2 linked regions of the Lonchura striata genome follow. The protein of the gene in region 1 binds, or shares a complex with, the protein of each later gene. Links are inferred from orthologs where the notes say so. Each region holds a gene or a part of one and is shown on either strand. Other genes may lie near its edges.

Evidence for each region.
Region 2: the proteins of POR (region 1) and HMOX1 are in contact, whole or in part, in a crystal structure (PDB 3WKT), measured with the Rattus norvegicus proteins. The link is inferred for Lonchura striata from reciprocal best matches to the Homo sapiens genes POR and HMOX1. Residues at the interface, in NP_113764.1 of Rattus norvegicus: Thr88, Thr177, Asp208, Asp209, Arg313, Arg514, Lys515, Gln517, Arg519, Leu520, Phe522, Lys523, His626, Lys665, Met667, Thr668, Lys669, Gly670, Tyr672; in NP_036712.1 of Rattus norvegicus: Asp12, Ser14, Glu15, Gln38, Ala75, Pro76, Glu81, Lys149, Ile150, Lys153, Ser171, Asp173, Asn174, Thr176, Lys177, Phe178, Lys179, Gln180, Leu181, Arg183, Ala184, Arg185, Asn187, Thr188.

The regions. Positions count from the first base shown.
Region 1 is NC_134622.1:5,833,533-5,841,247, forward strand, and holds the start of POR (NADPH--cytochrome P450 reductase), read right to left. Parts: upstream 3,245-7,715; 5' UTR 3,141-3,244; exon of another isoform or gene 3,132-3,140; intron 1,144-3,131; 5' UTR 1,007-1,143; intron 1-1,006. UniProt on the Homo sapiens protein: This enzyme is required for electron transfer from NADP to cytochrome P450 in microsomes. It can also provide electron transfer to heme oxygenase and cytochrome B5.
Region 2 is NC_134607.1:22,464,473-22,471,982, forward strand, and holds the start of HMOX1 (heme oxygenase 1), read left to right. Parts: upstream 1-4,383; 5' UTR 4,384-4,471; coding exon 4,472-4,503; intron 4,504-4,818; coding exon 4,819-4,939; intron 4,940-7,231; coding exon 7,232-7,510.

The sequences.
Region 1 (7,715 bases):
GATGCAGCAATGACCCACGAAAGAGAGTCAATTGATGTGTTTCACAACCACACAGCAAGATCCAGCACCACAAAAGTATCAACTCCCCAGGCTGCTAGTTAAACCTTCCCAGCAGACTTCCCGTGCACTGCCAGAGCCAGATTTTACCAAGGAGAAAAATCCAACCCCATCTCTAACTCCAAACCTTGCTATCTCCTACTCCACACAGCAAGAAAGGAAGGTAAGTAAATCAATACCTCCATTCCTTGCAAAGGAGTGACTGGAGGCATGGACATGGCTGATTACTAAGCAAAAATACTACAATAATCTGCCACCATGAGTCAAACTCAGCCACTCTTTGGACTTGTGGCTCTCCAGAAGCCACCAGACATGGCTTCTGGTCTCTCTGTCTGGATTCCATGGGTGATAGCAGCCCACAATTAACCTGAAATGTTTACTCAGGGACAAACAGCAAGAGATTACAAGCAGCCTGCAATTATGAATTGTTCTGACCTATGAAATTTTCAAGCCTATAAAAAAGCACTCTTGGCAGAGATGCACCTGTCACTGCAGGGCTGGTGATTCACTCTCTACAACGGCGTGTACAAAGTAATCTCATCACTGGGATCAAATGATCACGTTGGGAAAGCAAATTATGCAAGTTCTTAGAATTGTGTTTTTTGAGGCAGGAGAGTTGACATCAGGAAACAGAACAAAGTTCAATGCCCACAGAGGTACCTGCAAGTGGTTTTCTTTTATACCACGGGAGCAGATGGCAGGAGCACAAACCTGAGCAGGGAAGCCTTTTCCTCAGTCCTTCAGAACTGAGCAAACACAAAGTTTGCTGTATCCCAACAGGCAAAGGAGAGAGCAAAGACCAAATGGGATTTCAGTCAGATAGTTCCACACTTTGCTTTTGCTGCAGGTAAAGAAACCATCACTCCCACCCATTGCCAGCCACCCTCCCCAAACCCAGCTGCACCCAGAGATGCTCCACAGCCTGTGACACTCAAAAGAAAGGGGTTACCTTGCACCTATGGGTCAGCAAACAGGAGTTGGTGGGGCCTGTGAGTTCCAGCACGGAGGGCGGTGAGCAGCAAAGTCTCCCTTGAGATATTTCAAAGAGTTTTGGTTGTAAGGCCCTGTTGACCTCCTCCAGCTGCTCTGCAAGAAACAAAAGGCAAGTTGCAGAAGGCACGTGGCTTTCCAGGAGACACAAACCCAGAAATTACTGACTGAACAGGAAGCAACTGTGAAGTGATGACAAGCAAGAGGTTCTTCTCTGTCACAATTAGAGCAGGACTAATTAACAGGGTGTTAAGCTGGATCTGTGACACTACACCCTCCTTTCTTTCACATTCAAAGATTAAAAGAAGGTGTTCAACTGGTGTTAGTTCCGGTAGCTCTGTATCCTCCCTGCTCCCTGTTCTGCAAATACCGTTGTCGTGCACCATCACATCCACGTGCAAAACTAAGACACACTCCATGCCATGCACACCCTGCCTCAGTGCTGTCAACCAGCCCAAGAAAAACCTGTACTGAGACAATGCTGGGTTTTCCAGGAAGGGTCTGGCTCAGCAGCCCTCCCAGACAAAGCACCGATTTCCTCATTTGCAGCAGATTAATCAGCGAGCTGCTTTGCTTATGTGCAACAGCTCCTCGGGATTTCTCAGAGAATTACAGAAATATTGGAAGAAAGCCCATTCCCTTCCATCTAAAAAAAGGGATGTGTACACCACTGCACCCCACTAAGCAAAAAAAATTACGAAACCCCACAGCTCCTCACAAGCCCACACAAAGTGTAGAGATCTGTTGTGAAGGGGATGTCCCCACCAACGCTATCTGTGATTCACTTCCACAACTCAGAAACAGAGACCTGATTCCTTCTTCCTTGCACTTTTCCAGCTTCTCAGCCGGATATATGTTCCTACTTTTTAAAAAGAGCTGTAAAAACACAAACCCATTTCACTTTTCCAGACTCACAGAGAGCCTCAGTGATCCCTTCTCTGTACACATTCCACTAAGCATTCCTATTTCCATTCACACTCCAAAAGCTAACCCTGAAGAACAAAGCACACTCCAAGCTGCACCAGCAGTGCTTACTCCTGCAACTAAGGCAACTCCCCAAGAACCAATTCCACTCTGATGACTAACTCCCAACACCATCATCCAGGTACCTTCACCCTCTCCACCCTCAATATTCCCAAAACCACTGGGTTCCCATTATTTCCTTTGACAAGCACACACTCTATAGGTGAATACTTTCATTCTTCCAACAAACTCCATCAGGAAAAATCAGGAGCAAACAGCCTTCCCACACCCCAGCAGTTTATAAAGTGAAATAGATGGAAAAACAGCGGAACACCCCAGCCTGCAGCAAAGGTATCAATTAAACGCTGGGAATAACGTTCTCCAGGGATGTGCCAGAAAATTAAGCTCGTTAAAGGCTTTTAACCAGCACCAGCCCGGGATGGGGTAAGTCTGAGCAGCCCTTCAGTGCTGTGGAAGCAAGGCAGGGTGGGCATCACCCCAGCCCCGGGGTGACAGGCGTGGTGGGGCACCCCAAATAACAGCGGGGCCATGCCTGCCCTACGGGGCACATCGCTCACACCAGGCTCCCCAGGAACAGGGGCTCAGCACCACCAGGTGCTCCCAAACAAGACAGGCTCTGGTCATCCCAATTCCTATCAGGGGATCAGTCACATCAGACTCCCCACATAAGAGAGCTCTGGCCATCCAGGTCCCCCCCAAATACCAGGGGACAGCCACAGCACCCTGCCCAGATAACGTGGCCGTCCCAGCCCTCCCATACCCCTCCAGTAAAAAGGTTCTATAAGCACCTCAATAACCCAGTAACAGGATGCCCACTCACACCAGACCCCGCAGTGAACGGGGGGCTCTGGGCATCCCAGTCCCCCCTCAAAGAGAGCTCCATTCACATCGCCCTCCCCGCCAGCGACAGCGGTGCCACTCACCCGCCACACGGGACCCTGTGTCAGTCCCGTAACACGCAGCCAGTCCCCCCACACAGCGAGAGCCGCCATCCCACACCGACCCCACCAGGGGTGCCGGACCGCCCCTCCCCAGCACAAAGGGCTCCGGCGGCGAGCTCAGCCCCCCGCCTCAGCCCCAGAGGACCCCCGGTCCCGCACCCTCCTCACCCCCAAGCGCCCGTTCCCCGCGTCCCGCACGCTCCGCCGCTCCGGCCCGTCTGCCGCTGGCGGCTCCCGCGGCCCCGGCGCGGCCGGCACGTACAGCGGGCCGCACCACCCGCGCACGCGCGCGGGGGAGCACGCTCCGCCCCCGCCGCCCGCCAATAGGCGGCGAGCGCGCCTGCCTGTGGAGATCACCCCTCTGCGGCGGCGCATGGTACAGCCCCAGGACGGGGGTCTTAAAGGGACAGGAGCGCCGGGAGGGACCGGGGGAAAGTGGGGGTCGGTCAGAATTGGGGCGTGGGGAGGTCACGGGTGGAGTCAGGGGTCGGCCAGAATTGGGGCGTGGGGGGGTCACGGGTGGGGTCAGGGTGCAGAAGAACAGGGTCCAGAGGTCACGGTGGGTGCAAGCAGGGGCTCAGCCTGGGGGCCAGGCTCAGGAGGGGAGGCAGGGTTGGATCAGCGTTGTGGTTCGGGGGTGGGCGTTGGGGTCCTGGCAGGGTCAGAGTTGGGGTGACAGTGGGAGCAGGGCTTGGGTTACTGTGGAGTCACGAACTGGGGTCAGGGTGCTGAGGTCACTCTTGGACACCACTCTGGGCTGAGCCAGCACCTGCAGACCCAGGACCCTGTCTGTCTGTGGCCACTCCTGGGTGCTGCTGTGGGACTCCCAGTGCCCCACAAGGTCACTGCCCAGACCAGGGCCCCGTGGGTGGTCAAGGGGACCCCGAGGTGCAGGCTGGTACCCAGTCACTGCCATCCTCTGTGGGAGCCAGGGAGCTGCTTCACCCAGGGAAGCACATGCTCCTGATTTAACCACAGCCCAGATGATTTGGATGTTTTGGGGTGGTCTTTCTCTCGCTGCCACACTAGGAAGTTGCTCAAGCAGCTCTGGAAGCATCCCCAGCAGTCCCAGTGGGACATTTCACAACCCAGACCTCCAGACCCCATGTCCCACAGGGACTGCTGCTCGCTTTCCTGTTGTTTTTTTTTTGGAGGAGGAAGCTGGGTTACAACTCTGGTGTTTCCAGCTTGGCCAAAGCCAGAAGCACAGCTTGCCCTGACCCCACTGAGCAGCCCCATGGCTGTGTGGGGTCACCCCAGGCTGGGTCCTCTCCCTTTGGCTGCTGGGCACTGGCACATCCAAAGTCACCATCCTGACGCCATCGCTGTGTTGACGCTCGCTCCAGAGTCAATAAAACCCTTGGGGAAGGTCCAAAGTTCGAGCTGGGCCTGGCAGGCAGCTGAAGAGGTGTGAGGAGGGGGCACAGACCTGAAGAACACCAGCCCAGGGCTGCAGGGACGCCCTGTTTCCTGACAGCATTTCAGCAGAGGGTCAAGGGGTGGGAGGTCACCTCAGTACTGGTGCCACCCACATCAGTTTTGGGATTGACCCCATGGAAGCTCCCTGGTGTGGCTGTTCTGTGACCATACCCCGTGGGGTGAATGGACATGGTTAAAGATCCCAGTGGCACTGAGGGGATGGCAGCACAGAGCAGGTCTGTGGCTGGGGTCAACCCATCAGGTGCCCAGACTGGCATTATGGCACAGCCTGTCCTATTCTGTCCCCTCAGGGAAGAAGCTGGGAGCTCATCACACCCAGCCCAAACCCCCCAGGGGCAAGCAGCAGAGTCCTGCAGCCTACAGAGACCTGGTTGGTCAGCACTTTGTACCGATTTCTCCCACCTCTCCAGCTCTCCTCTGTTCCCAGCACAGCTTGAGGCTGAACTTTTGCCCACAGAACCCTCAGAGTGCCAGAAAACAACAGGGGACACCATGGGACAGCCATGGAGGTGGTCTTTGGCAGTGTCCTGGCCCTGGCACAGGGAACCTGGCCCCCAGTCAGGATGTCTGCATGGGTGTGCTTGGCCAAAAGTTAATGACGGGCAAGCAAAGAAACACAGACCTGTTTTCCTTCCAGCGCCCATGTCCCCTGGCAGGCCTCCCCACTTTGTGGGTCCCCCCTCACCCCTGCATGGGGCAGCAGTGGAGGTCCAAGTCAGTTCTGCTTTCCTCGTGTATCCCTGACTCCTTTTCCCTTGCACCATGGTGGGAGCTGAAGAGCAGAGGGGATGGATTTGGACTTCCAAAGAACCTTTTCCATGGCAGGAGCACTACTCCAAGGACTGGGAGCAGCTGGCTCTGCTCCCAGCACTGTCCCCAGACTGTCACTCTGCAGTGACCCTCTGAGGACATGGGGGCAACCCAAGGGGCTTTCTGGACTCTCTGCACACCCTGTGCACAGACACATTCTGGCATGGAATGCAGTGGCAGTTTTACTAGGAACGAGCCAGAGGCACAAAATAGCAAACCTCCAGGGACAGCACGTTCCCAGGGGCAGCCACCCCAAGGGCAGCCACCCCAGGCTGAACTGGAGATTATTGATTTCTTTTTCTTTTCTTTTCTTTTCTTTTCTTTTCTTTTCTTTTCTTTTCTTTTCTTTTCTTTTCTTTTCTTTTCTTTTCTTTTCTTTTCTTTTCTTTTCTTTTCTTTTCTTTTCTTTTCTTTTCTTTTCTTTTCTTTTCTTTTCTTTTCTTTTCTTTTCTTTTCTTTTTTTCCTGCTTTGGGAACTTCAATTCTCTGTCTCCCCACCAAGGAAATGAGCGGGTACTGCAATGTGTGATGAGTAACATTACTCTGAGCTTAGATAGGCAGATGCCAAAGCCCAGCAAGCTTATGACTTTTACCTCCTTCTCTTCCAAATTTAAATGCTCTTCTCAGCCTTACATGTTTCATCCCAACCTGTTTCCTCCCTCTCAGCAACTTCACTTCCCTGGGTGATGAGTTCTGAATTCACCCCCAGCCCTGGTGAACTGGGACTTGTTGGACTCCACTGTCCAAGAGCATTTTGCTGTGGAACAGATGCCCTCAGAAAAGCAGGGAACAGAAAAAAAAAATCTCCTCAAACATCAATCTGAAGGGCATTGAAAACAAATCCATCACATTGCACATGACCAGTAGGAGCAGCTGGGCTCAGAACACTCCTGGGGACATGGTGGAAGCTGTAAAAATCAGAGAGACCAAGTGATCTGCCACGGTCACCGAGAAGCTCCCAAAAGATCTGGGAGCAGAAAGAAAGAAACTCCAAACTGTGGTTTTGTGCTCAGAGCTCACCTGGAAGGCTGTGGTAATTATGTTGTCCCAGCATGGAAAGGACCTGTTCCTTCCCTCCTGGAGGGAGGTTTGCACCAGCTGGGAATGGGGCAGTTCCCACGGTGACTCTTACAGGGCCTCCTCTACTGCTGTAAAGCCAGGAAACTGCTCCCTGGAAACACGCATCCCTTTGACAGCTCTGCGGGGAGAGCGACTCTCACCCGATCGACTGGTAAGAGTTGGACACGCGAAAACAACCGGATTCCAGCGTTTTCCAGCGTGCAGTACCGCTTGTCCCCAGTGCTCGTCCCCAGCCACCAGCCTGACATGCAACTGCGCCCATCCCACTGATTCCACCCCCAGAGATCCCATCCCATTGATCCCACCCCCAGAGATCCCATCCCACTGATCCCACCCCCAGAGATCCCATCCCACTGATTCCATCCCCAGAGATCCCATCCTCCAGAGATCCCATCCCACAGATCCCACCCCTCAAATCCTGCCCCACTGATCCCATCCCACTGATCCCACCCCTCAAATCCTGCCCCACTGATCCCATCCCCCTGATCCTGCCCCAGGGATCCCATCCCCCTGATTCCCATCCCACAGATCCCACCCCACCCATCCCCCAGAGAGGCACGCTCCAGCTCCCCACTTATAAACCAACCCAGAGAAAAACCAGTCCTTCAGATTCTATTTCAAGTTCACAGTTTGGAGATACACAACATTTGTGATTGCTGTTGATCTTCATCACCCTTTTGGAAAAAATAAGTGGTAAAATTCCTAAGTTTACGGGCAAGGACTACACAAGGAGGAAAATCAAGGCACTAACAGGAACGGAGTGTCAATATTTCAATGTTCTCTCTGGCATTTCTTTCCTGGTATTAAAAACATGCTTTTAAATTCCAAACAAGCTCCTTATCCCGCTCTTGTTCCACACTAAAAGTATAACAATACAATTGCTGGCAGCAGGAAAAACAGGACCATGAAATCAAATCCATATGTGATCCCACAGAGGAGAGAAATAATCAGGTATGAAACAGAGTTGTCCCCCAACTCCAAGTTAGTTCCCAAGTTGCTGCATCCTCCTGCTGAAAGACCTGCCTGGGGTGCTCACCTTCACAAGAAGAGCTTCGTACTCATGTTTTACTTCTGTGAGGTGCAAGTTCTCAGCACTGACATTGGTCTCCTCCAAAAGAAAGCCCCTGTGTCCCACATGGGACCATGGCAGTCATTCCAGAGGGGCTGCTGGAGAAGTCAAGCAGCTGGATGACAACACAGGGTTTGTTCACAGCCTGATGGTGGAAAAATGAGAGGCAGGGATGTGGTTTGGAACGTGCAGCTGCCAGAGCTGCCTATGGCCAGGCTCACCGAGAGCAGGGAGGAGTCTTGAGGCTGTTGAGTTTCTGGGGATGGGTGAGGCACTGCAAGAACATCTCCAAGAGCAGGAATGGCACTTTGTACTTGATGGAGCACTTTTTTATGCAGCACAGC
Region 2 (7,510 bases), on another chromosome or scaffold:
GGTTTCCCGTTCCTCTTTCTCCTGAGAAAAGGGTGTGAGCAGTGTGGTACAAGGTCCTCTGTGTTGCAGATGTGTGATTTTTCAAATCCAAAGTTTCACGGTTTGTTCTGTCCTGCGGTCAGGGCACACTTTGTTTTCCACAGTTGTGGCACTGAAACAAAGGAGGCAGCAGCACTGACTGAAACATTTGCACAAATGGGATTTTATTTGCGAACTCTGTCCCATTCCCTTCCACACCTCCCTTTGGTTGCCAAAGCAGCTCCTAGCTGGACACAGGATTGATTCCCATGACCACCAAGACTCTACGAAGCATGGTGGGCCCTATGTACTCTCTCCCAAAATTTCAGCCCAGTGTACCTATAACCTGCTGTGTGCTTAAGGTAACTGCCTGACTCTGGTCAGGCACATGCCTTGCAGGGCACTTGCTCTCCCTTCTTCTCCCCATTCTGTTTCCAGACAGCCCAGGCTCTCTCCTTGCTCATAGCTATGTGCTGGAGACACCAGTGTGCTGCAGCACACACATACCCATACATCTGTGAATATAATTATTGTAATCTGCATTTCCTGTTTTTGTCACGCTGGTTCATTTATCCTGGGAAATTTGCCTGTGCCTCCATCTCCTACCACACTGTTTTCCAGGGTTCCCGTGTGGGGGGTTACCTAACACAGCCATGTCTGTCTATACAACCCTCCAGTAGTACGAGCAGTGCCAGCCCCAGGGACAGCTGCAGCGCCTGAGCTCTCCATAGGGATTTCCAGTGCATTGGACGCTCAACCTCCTTTTTCTCCATCTTCATCTTTGATCTAGATTGGAATTTTTAGATGCTGAGAGACCAGTGAGCACAGTCAGTTCAGCGAAGGCGGGGCTGGGAGAGGCAGTATCCTTTGGTAAACACAAATTAACACACAGGATATCCCTGTACACTCCAGTACAAACTCCTTTCTCCAGCAAGTAATTTTAAGCAATCTGTAACCCTTTTCCCCATACCATTACACAGCAAATCCTCATCACCGAGTGATGATGCAGCAGCCTGGCTTGCACTCAGCTTTCCGAGTGCAAACCAGGCAGCTGCATTTTGCTGTGTCACGGTTTGAGAGAGCCCATTAGTCCCTCTGAGCTGGCTAAGGCCGGTTTTCCCCATGAAAATGGAGCTGAGCTGCTGGGAGCTACCAGCACGGAACAGCGCTACCCACAAGGGACTCAAGAGAGCTGACTTTGCATCCCGTGACTGCCAGTGTAACTAGACATTTCTGGCCATAAATCTGCTGGCAAAATAGGCTGTTAATGTACAAAGAGGAGAAAATTCCCCACTTCCCTGTTCCACATGGAAACACTGACCCCTCAATAACTTTCTGTTGTTTTTAACCATTCATCTCCCATCTCATGACTAAGCATTTTCTCAGGGGCTGGGATGTGCAGACAGGCTTTTAAGTCCAGCAAGAACTTTTACAAATATCTTGCCTGAGGCTACTTTCTTCATCTTTGCTAGAAATCCCCTGGGCAGTTTTGCTGGTGTCCTCACAGTGAGTAGCTCTGGCACTACCCAGACGCAGCTCACTGGAAAGGCAGGAGACAGCAGGGCTTCTGGCAAGCACAGTGGAGACCACAGCTCTGAGACTTGATAGTCAAGCAGAATTTCCTACTGACTGGATTTGGGCTGGGCTCTGATTTCCCATGGCCCACTCTGCTCTGGGAGCCTGTTTGCTCCTTCCACCAAAAGCACTCACCTCCCTCCCCATTCATTGCTCCCAAGTGGCAACTTCCAAAGTTCTCTTTGAGGAGGAGATGGTCCCTCACAAATCCCTGCTGGCATGTTTGCTTGCTCGGTGGCACTGACCTCCCTCCCATCAGCAACAGCACTGCAGAAGCAATTCAAGCCCTTGCTGCAGAACACTGAAGGGGTCAGAAATGCTCCAGGCTAGCAACTGCAAAGATGATGAAACCCCACTTTCAGTTCTCCTTCCATCTTGCTGCAGGGCCTTTGGGCCTTTCCAGAGAGCTAGGCTGTGTCTCACAGCTGCTCCATCCCAAGAAACCCAAATCAGAGAGAGATCAGACAGTATAAATCACTTATGGGGCATGGCTTGCTTGTCTGCACCTTTGCAAGTCTCCTGGCAGAGGTGAGTTGCATCTCTTGTGACCTGCCCAGGGGAAGGTAAAGCCCAAAGAGCCAGAAGAGGTTCTGCTTCATGTTCTGGGACAGTATGGTTACAAGCCAGAAAACCTACCTGGAATGGTAGCAACAAGACTAGAGACCCTCTCTTTCTTCCCCCACAGTCTCACTCACAATCCTGGGTTAAAAGGGAAAAGGACTTTTGGATATATCTTTTATAGGGCTTCCAAGCATGCAGCTTCCTGGAAGAAGACAGGTGGGCATGCTGGAGACAAAATCATGGGCTTGAAAGCACCCATAAAGTCCTTGGGAAGAACTGGGTACATTGCCAGGGCTGCAGGTGAAAGGAGGGGCTAGGCTTGAGGATTGGATTTTTTTCATGTTATTTCACAAAATGAGTAATATACTCTCATAATATAATTCTTATTCTCATATAATTCCCATCTATTTCCTACTTCCCTCCACCAGAACTAGAGGTTCAATTTGTGCTCCAGCTTCCCCTGTCAGAATAGGACTCACTGAAAATGACAGAAAATGAAAACTTTGAGTTATGCCAGAGGGAAACATTCATTTTGAGGCCATTCCTGTGGCAAACTGTAGTTTCAATGTTTTCAGGAGGGACTCGCCATGGAGCTGTCTGCTTTCTGCCCTCTCAGGAGATGTTTGGGGTTTTGTCACACTTGCTTCGAAGATCCAGACATCCTGATAAATTTATTTTACCTTCCAGAAAAGCAAGTAAGTTGTCTGCAGTGGCATGGGGGTAAGAATGGAACATGTCAGCTTTTGCCAGCGTGCACTGTTGCTTTAAAAGACAAAAGCAAGACAGGAAAAGTCTGGCCGAGTCAGGGTGGAAATGCTGAGTAATCCTTCCTGAACGCTGCATGCCAGATGTCTGCTGGAGTCAAAAAAAGAAGCATAGAAGAATACATTTTCTAGAACAGCTTTTTAACCTACAGCCCCCAACCCTGCTGGGACTGGTGTGGGTGCAGGGACAGGGAGACAGGCAAGGTGCTGGCTTGGATAGCAGCATCCACAGAGAAGGCTGGCTGCAGAGGGACAGCAGATGCCACAGTCCTTCTCCTTCCACCCAGGCTCTGCCTCCCCACCACCCCCTGCCCCACTGTACCAGGGAGTTTCTCACACCCACTGAAGCAGGGGAGTGGTGGCTCTAAGTGCCCTGCTCTTTTGGGCTGAGCACAAATGTGTGTTTTCCAAAGTACAGCCAGCTAGTGCATCACCTGTCCCTGCTAGCCCAGCTTCCAGCATAACTACAGGTGGGAAAGAAGGGCCCAGCTTCATCTGTTGGCTGCTTCACTGACCACTTCATAAAAAAAAAAAAAAAAAAAAAAAAAAAAAAAAAGTTAAAAAAACCCCCACAAACAAAAACAAACAGAAAATCCAGCAGAGCAACAGCTATTTGCAGAAGCACCATGTCCAACTCTTTTAGCTCTTTTCCCAAATCAGAGTAATTATTTGCCTTTGAAAGTCTTTGCAAACTTTCTCAGTTTCCCCCAAGTCCTGTATGATATCTTTTCAGCTACCCCAGCCTTCTGGGTATCTAGGAGATGGTGTACAATTTTCCTAAATTGCCCTGCACACTGCTGTGGTGACAAGAGGAGCCAGCTATCAAACAAATCAGATGCCATTGTTTCCATGAGCAGGAGGGCATGGAGTGGGTTTGGCTGTGCATCGGTGCTGGCACACCTGTGTTGGCTCTGTGCAAAGTGGCAGGATTTACCACCAAGGGCAAGGGGGAGCTGCACAAGGACAGGTCTGGCACCTGCAGGCCAGAGCCGGTGCATGCCTGAGCACAGGCACAGGAGGTGGGATGGTTACACCTGAGCTGTGCTGGAGCAGGGGAGTGCTGGATTGGCTCTCCAGGCACACACACTGGGGTGCAGGGTGAGGAGGCTGCCCTCTGTGCCCCAGGAATTACCTCTGTAAATCCACCCTCCTTGTCCGACCCCGCTGTCCCCAGGACAACGAGCACCTCTGGCAGGACCCGGGCTCTGCCTGCCACGGGCAAGGCACTGAAAGGGTTACAGAGCCAGGCACCCTCAAAAGAGAAGTTTCTGGACATCCTCTCGGTTTTGCTTAGTTATCAAGATGCATCTGGTGACTTCCTTCTGGTTCTTCGGGGCGGTGGGCCAGGAGAGGGTGACAGCCAGCTGGGAAGGGAAGTGCTGCTGTGTTGCAAGAAGCCTGCAGTCACCGAGGTCAGCGGTTCGCTGCTCACGTGGCCGGGCAGTATAAAGCTGGATGTGGGAGTCAGGCTGCCCAGCTCGGAGCTTCGCTGTCCCGGGAGCTGAGGGAAGCAGCAACGCGCGAGCAACAGCAGCGAGGCAGAGGAGACAAACATGGAAACTTCGCAGCCACACAGCTCCGAAAGGTGAGAGCGGGACGGGAATGGGAGGGAAGCGTTTTGGCAGAGGAGTGTTGTGTTTCTCCCCTTGCTTTTAAGGAATGCTGTTCCTGTTCCTGCTCTGCAGCATGCTGCTGCCTCCACCTCTGGATGGAGTGTGTCAGTCTTCCTTGCTCGGGACACTGTTTGGAAAGCTGGTTCGCTCTGGGTCCCATCCGCACCTCTCGAGAATGCTCTGCTCCTTTTTCTGCCATCCCAGGCTCCTCCTTTTGTCCTAGAGAGCTAAGATTTGTTTTGTCAGAGGAGACAGCTCTTAATACCTGTTTCACTGTTCCTCCCCAGGATGTCCGCAGACCTGTCAGAGCTGTTGAAGGAAGCTACCAAGGAGGTGCACGAGCAGGCAGAGAACACACCGTTCATGAGGAATTTCCAAAAGGGGCAGGTGTCACTCCAGGAGTTTAAGGTACTTCATAGCAGCGTTGCTTGGGGATGGGATTTCCTCACCAGTTAAATCAGATGGGCTGAGAGGGGACTAAAGTGGGGAGGATGGGACAGTACAGGAGGATAGGGGCATGATGTATCAGTATCTCCTATGAAAAACATCAAACTTCTACACCCTGAGGTCCTACTGGCTCCTCTTGCAGAAGGTGGGGAAGGGCTGTGCATATCACAATGGGCAGCCAAGCTGAAACAGGAGAAATAAGGACAAAGAGGTTGCTGGGACTAATGCTATTGCTTTTTTCTTCATAAATGCCTGAATGTTATTATTGCCAGTCACAGTTAATGGAGCTAGAACTATGTTCAGATACTTGCCCAAAAGAGGGAGAATTCTGTATCTACAACATTCTAGGCAGCTGCAGCTAGAAATAATAATGGGATGGTGACAGAGCGAGGATGTGGGATCATTGCTGGCACTGAACTTTGCATTGTCACTTGAGTTATACCACAGCTGAGATCATAAACAATAACTCAAAACCAGACTGAGTTTGAGTAATCTGTGTCTGCCGCTAACAAGCAGGAGCCTGTTGCCTTTTTCAAGATAAAAAGAAACATTTCCACACATTAGCCTAACCTGGCTAGATACAGTTCCTGGGATCTGAGCCATATAACAAAGCCAAGAGCAAAACCAAAGCAAACACCTGGGCCAGAATTCCTGAGAGGCTATAGGAAGTGACACATGGACTTGCAAATAACAGCTACTGATTCAACCTGTGGCTTAATTAATTTGTTGTTGAATTGTTCCTTGGCAAATAAATCCACAGAAGCAGGAAAGAGACTGCTTGTTTCTGACAGGTGACATTCAGAATACTTAGCCAAGCATAAATTCAATCTCAGGTGCTGACTTCCTGCTGTTAGAAATATGGCATTGGTTAGGCAGTGATCTTTGAGACAGGTTAGTGTGTAAAAAGACTTTCAGGAATAAAACTTGGTTTCTTAGATAATTTTTACATGCTGTCAGGTGAATGAGATGGAACATGGATTTTAAAAATTAACAAGTGTTTAAAAGCCATGTTTCTCATTAAACAACTACCTGCCTCTGAAAACAATTAGTTGAGTTACAATTTTGCTTAATTTGGAAGGCAATGTTCCCATGTTTTGTTTCTTTTCCGGTAGGTTGGGTAACAGGTTACTGTTTAAAAAACTGTTTTTGTTTACTCTCTTGGCAGACTTATATATCTGGCCTGCTACGTGACTCCCTAGATGGTGGATATTTGTTTCCACAACCAGTCACTGCCCATGTGCTTATCAAAGTCCTATTTTCTGGCACAGTGGGACAAGGTTGAAACAGGAACTCTCTCACTGCAGAACTGACTGCTTTGTGAGAAAGTAAACAGCTTTCTCTCCTGTGAGCAGCATAATCCCCCCTACCCAAACCTGACTCACCTCTACTACAACACCTTCATCTTTTACCATTTGCTGCTCACAAGGGTCCCAGGGTAAGGAAGGGGTGGTGTAGGTGTAACAGCCTCTGAAAACAGAATGCCTGGGGAAGGAAAGAACACAGCTATATTGTCTCAGATCATGTGGAAAAGCTGGCAGATAGAAGAAAGTATCACATAAGCTGGGAAAAACAACAATAACAATGGTTTCAAAATAGAGGGGAGAACACAGCCTCACAGCACTGCTTCACAAAGGCATCTTTCAGAGGCAGGCTGTGCTTCCAGATCCCTTTTATCTTGTTCCCTTGGGGCAACCGAGGAGGCAACCCCACTTGCATGCCTGAGTGAGCAGAGTAGTGGTGCCTCAGTTCCCAGGATGGTGGGATGCTGACAGGATGAATATGTTGAAAAATAACCAGGGTGTGTCATCATTTCACAAGGCCCCACAAAAGGAAGCCACATTTTGGAGCATTCAAATTTGAACAATGTACCAGAAAGGATACCTTTGGGAATACCCTCTCTATTGACTGAGGGAATGAGAAGAGACCAGGAATGCTTAAACAGAGCTCCACTTTACATCACATCAAGCTGCCAGACTTTAACTTGAAGGCAAGGCAGTGACTTCAAGAGAAAGTAAGACCAATATCTGCTGGAAAGGGCTCACCTGATTGCTGTCTCAAGCCGAAGGGAAGGGCTAAACAGTGTCTCCCTGTACCTTGCACTGTTTTCCACGCGGGAAATCTGCACCATCACAGGTGTTCGTGACTCATTGTGGGCGTGCCCACGAGTACCTTTATTCTTAGTACAATTTGTCCCACAGACTTGAAAACAATAAACAGATGCACCTATAGTTCATGCATTTTCTTCTCTTTCAGCTGGTTACAGCGTCCCTGTACTTTATCTACTCTGCTCTGGAGGAAGAGATCGAACGGAACAAGAACAATCCAGTTTATGCCCCTGTCTATTTTCCGGCGGAGCTGCACCGCAAAGCTGCCCTGGAGGAAGACTTGAAGTACTTCTATGGCAGGAACTGGAGGGAAGAGATCCCATGTCCTGAGGCGACTCAGAAATATGTTGAGAGGCTCCACTACATAGGCAAGAACGAGCCAGAGCTCCTGGTGGCCCATGCCTACACTCGCTATTTGGGAGACCTG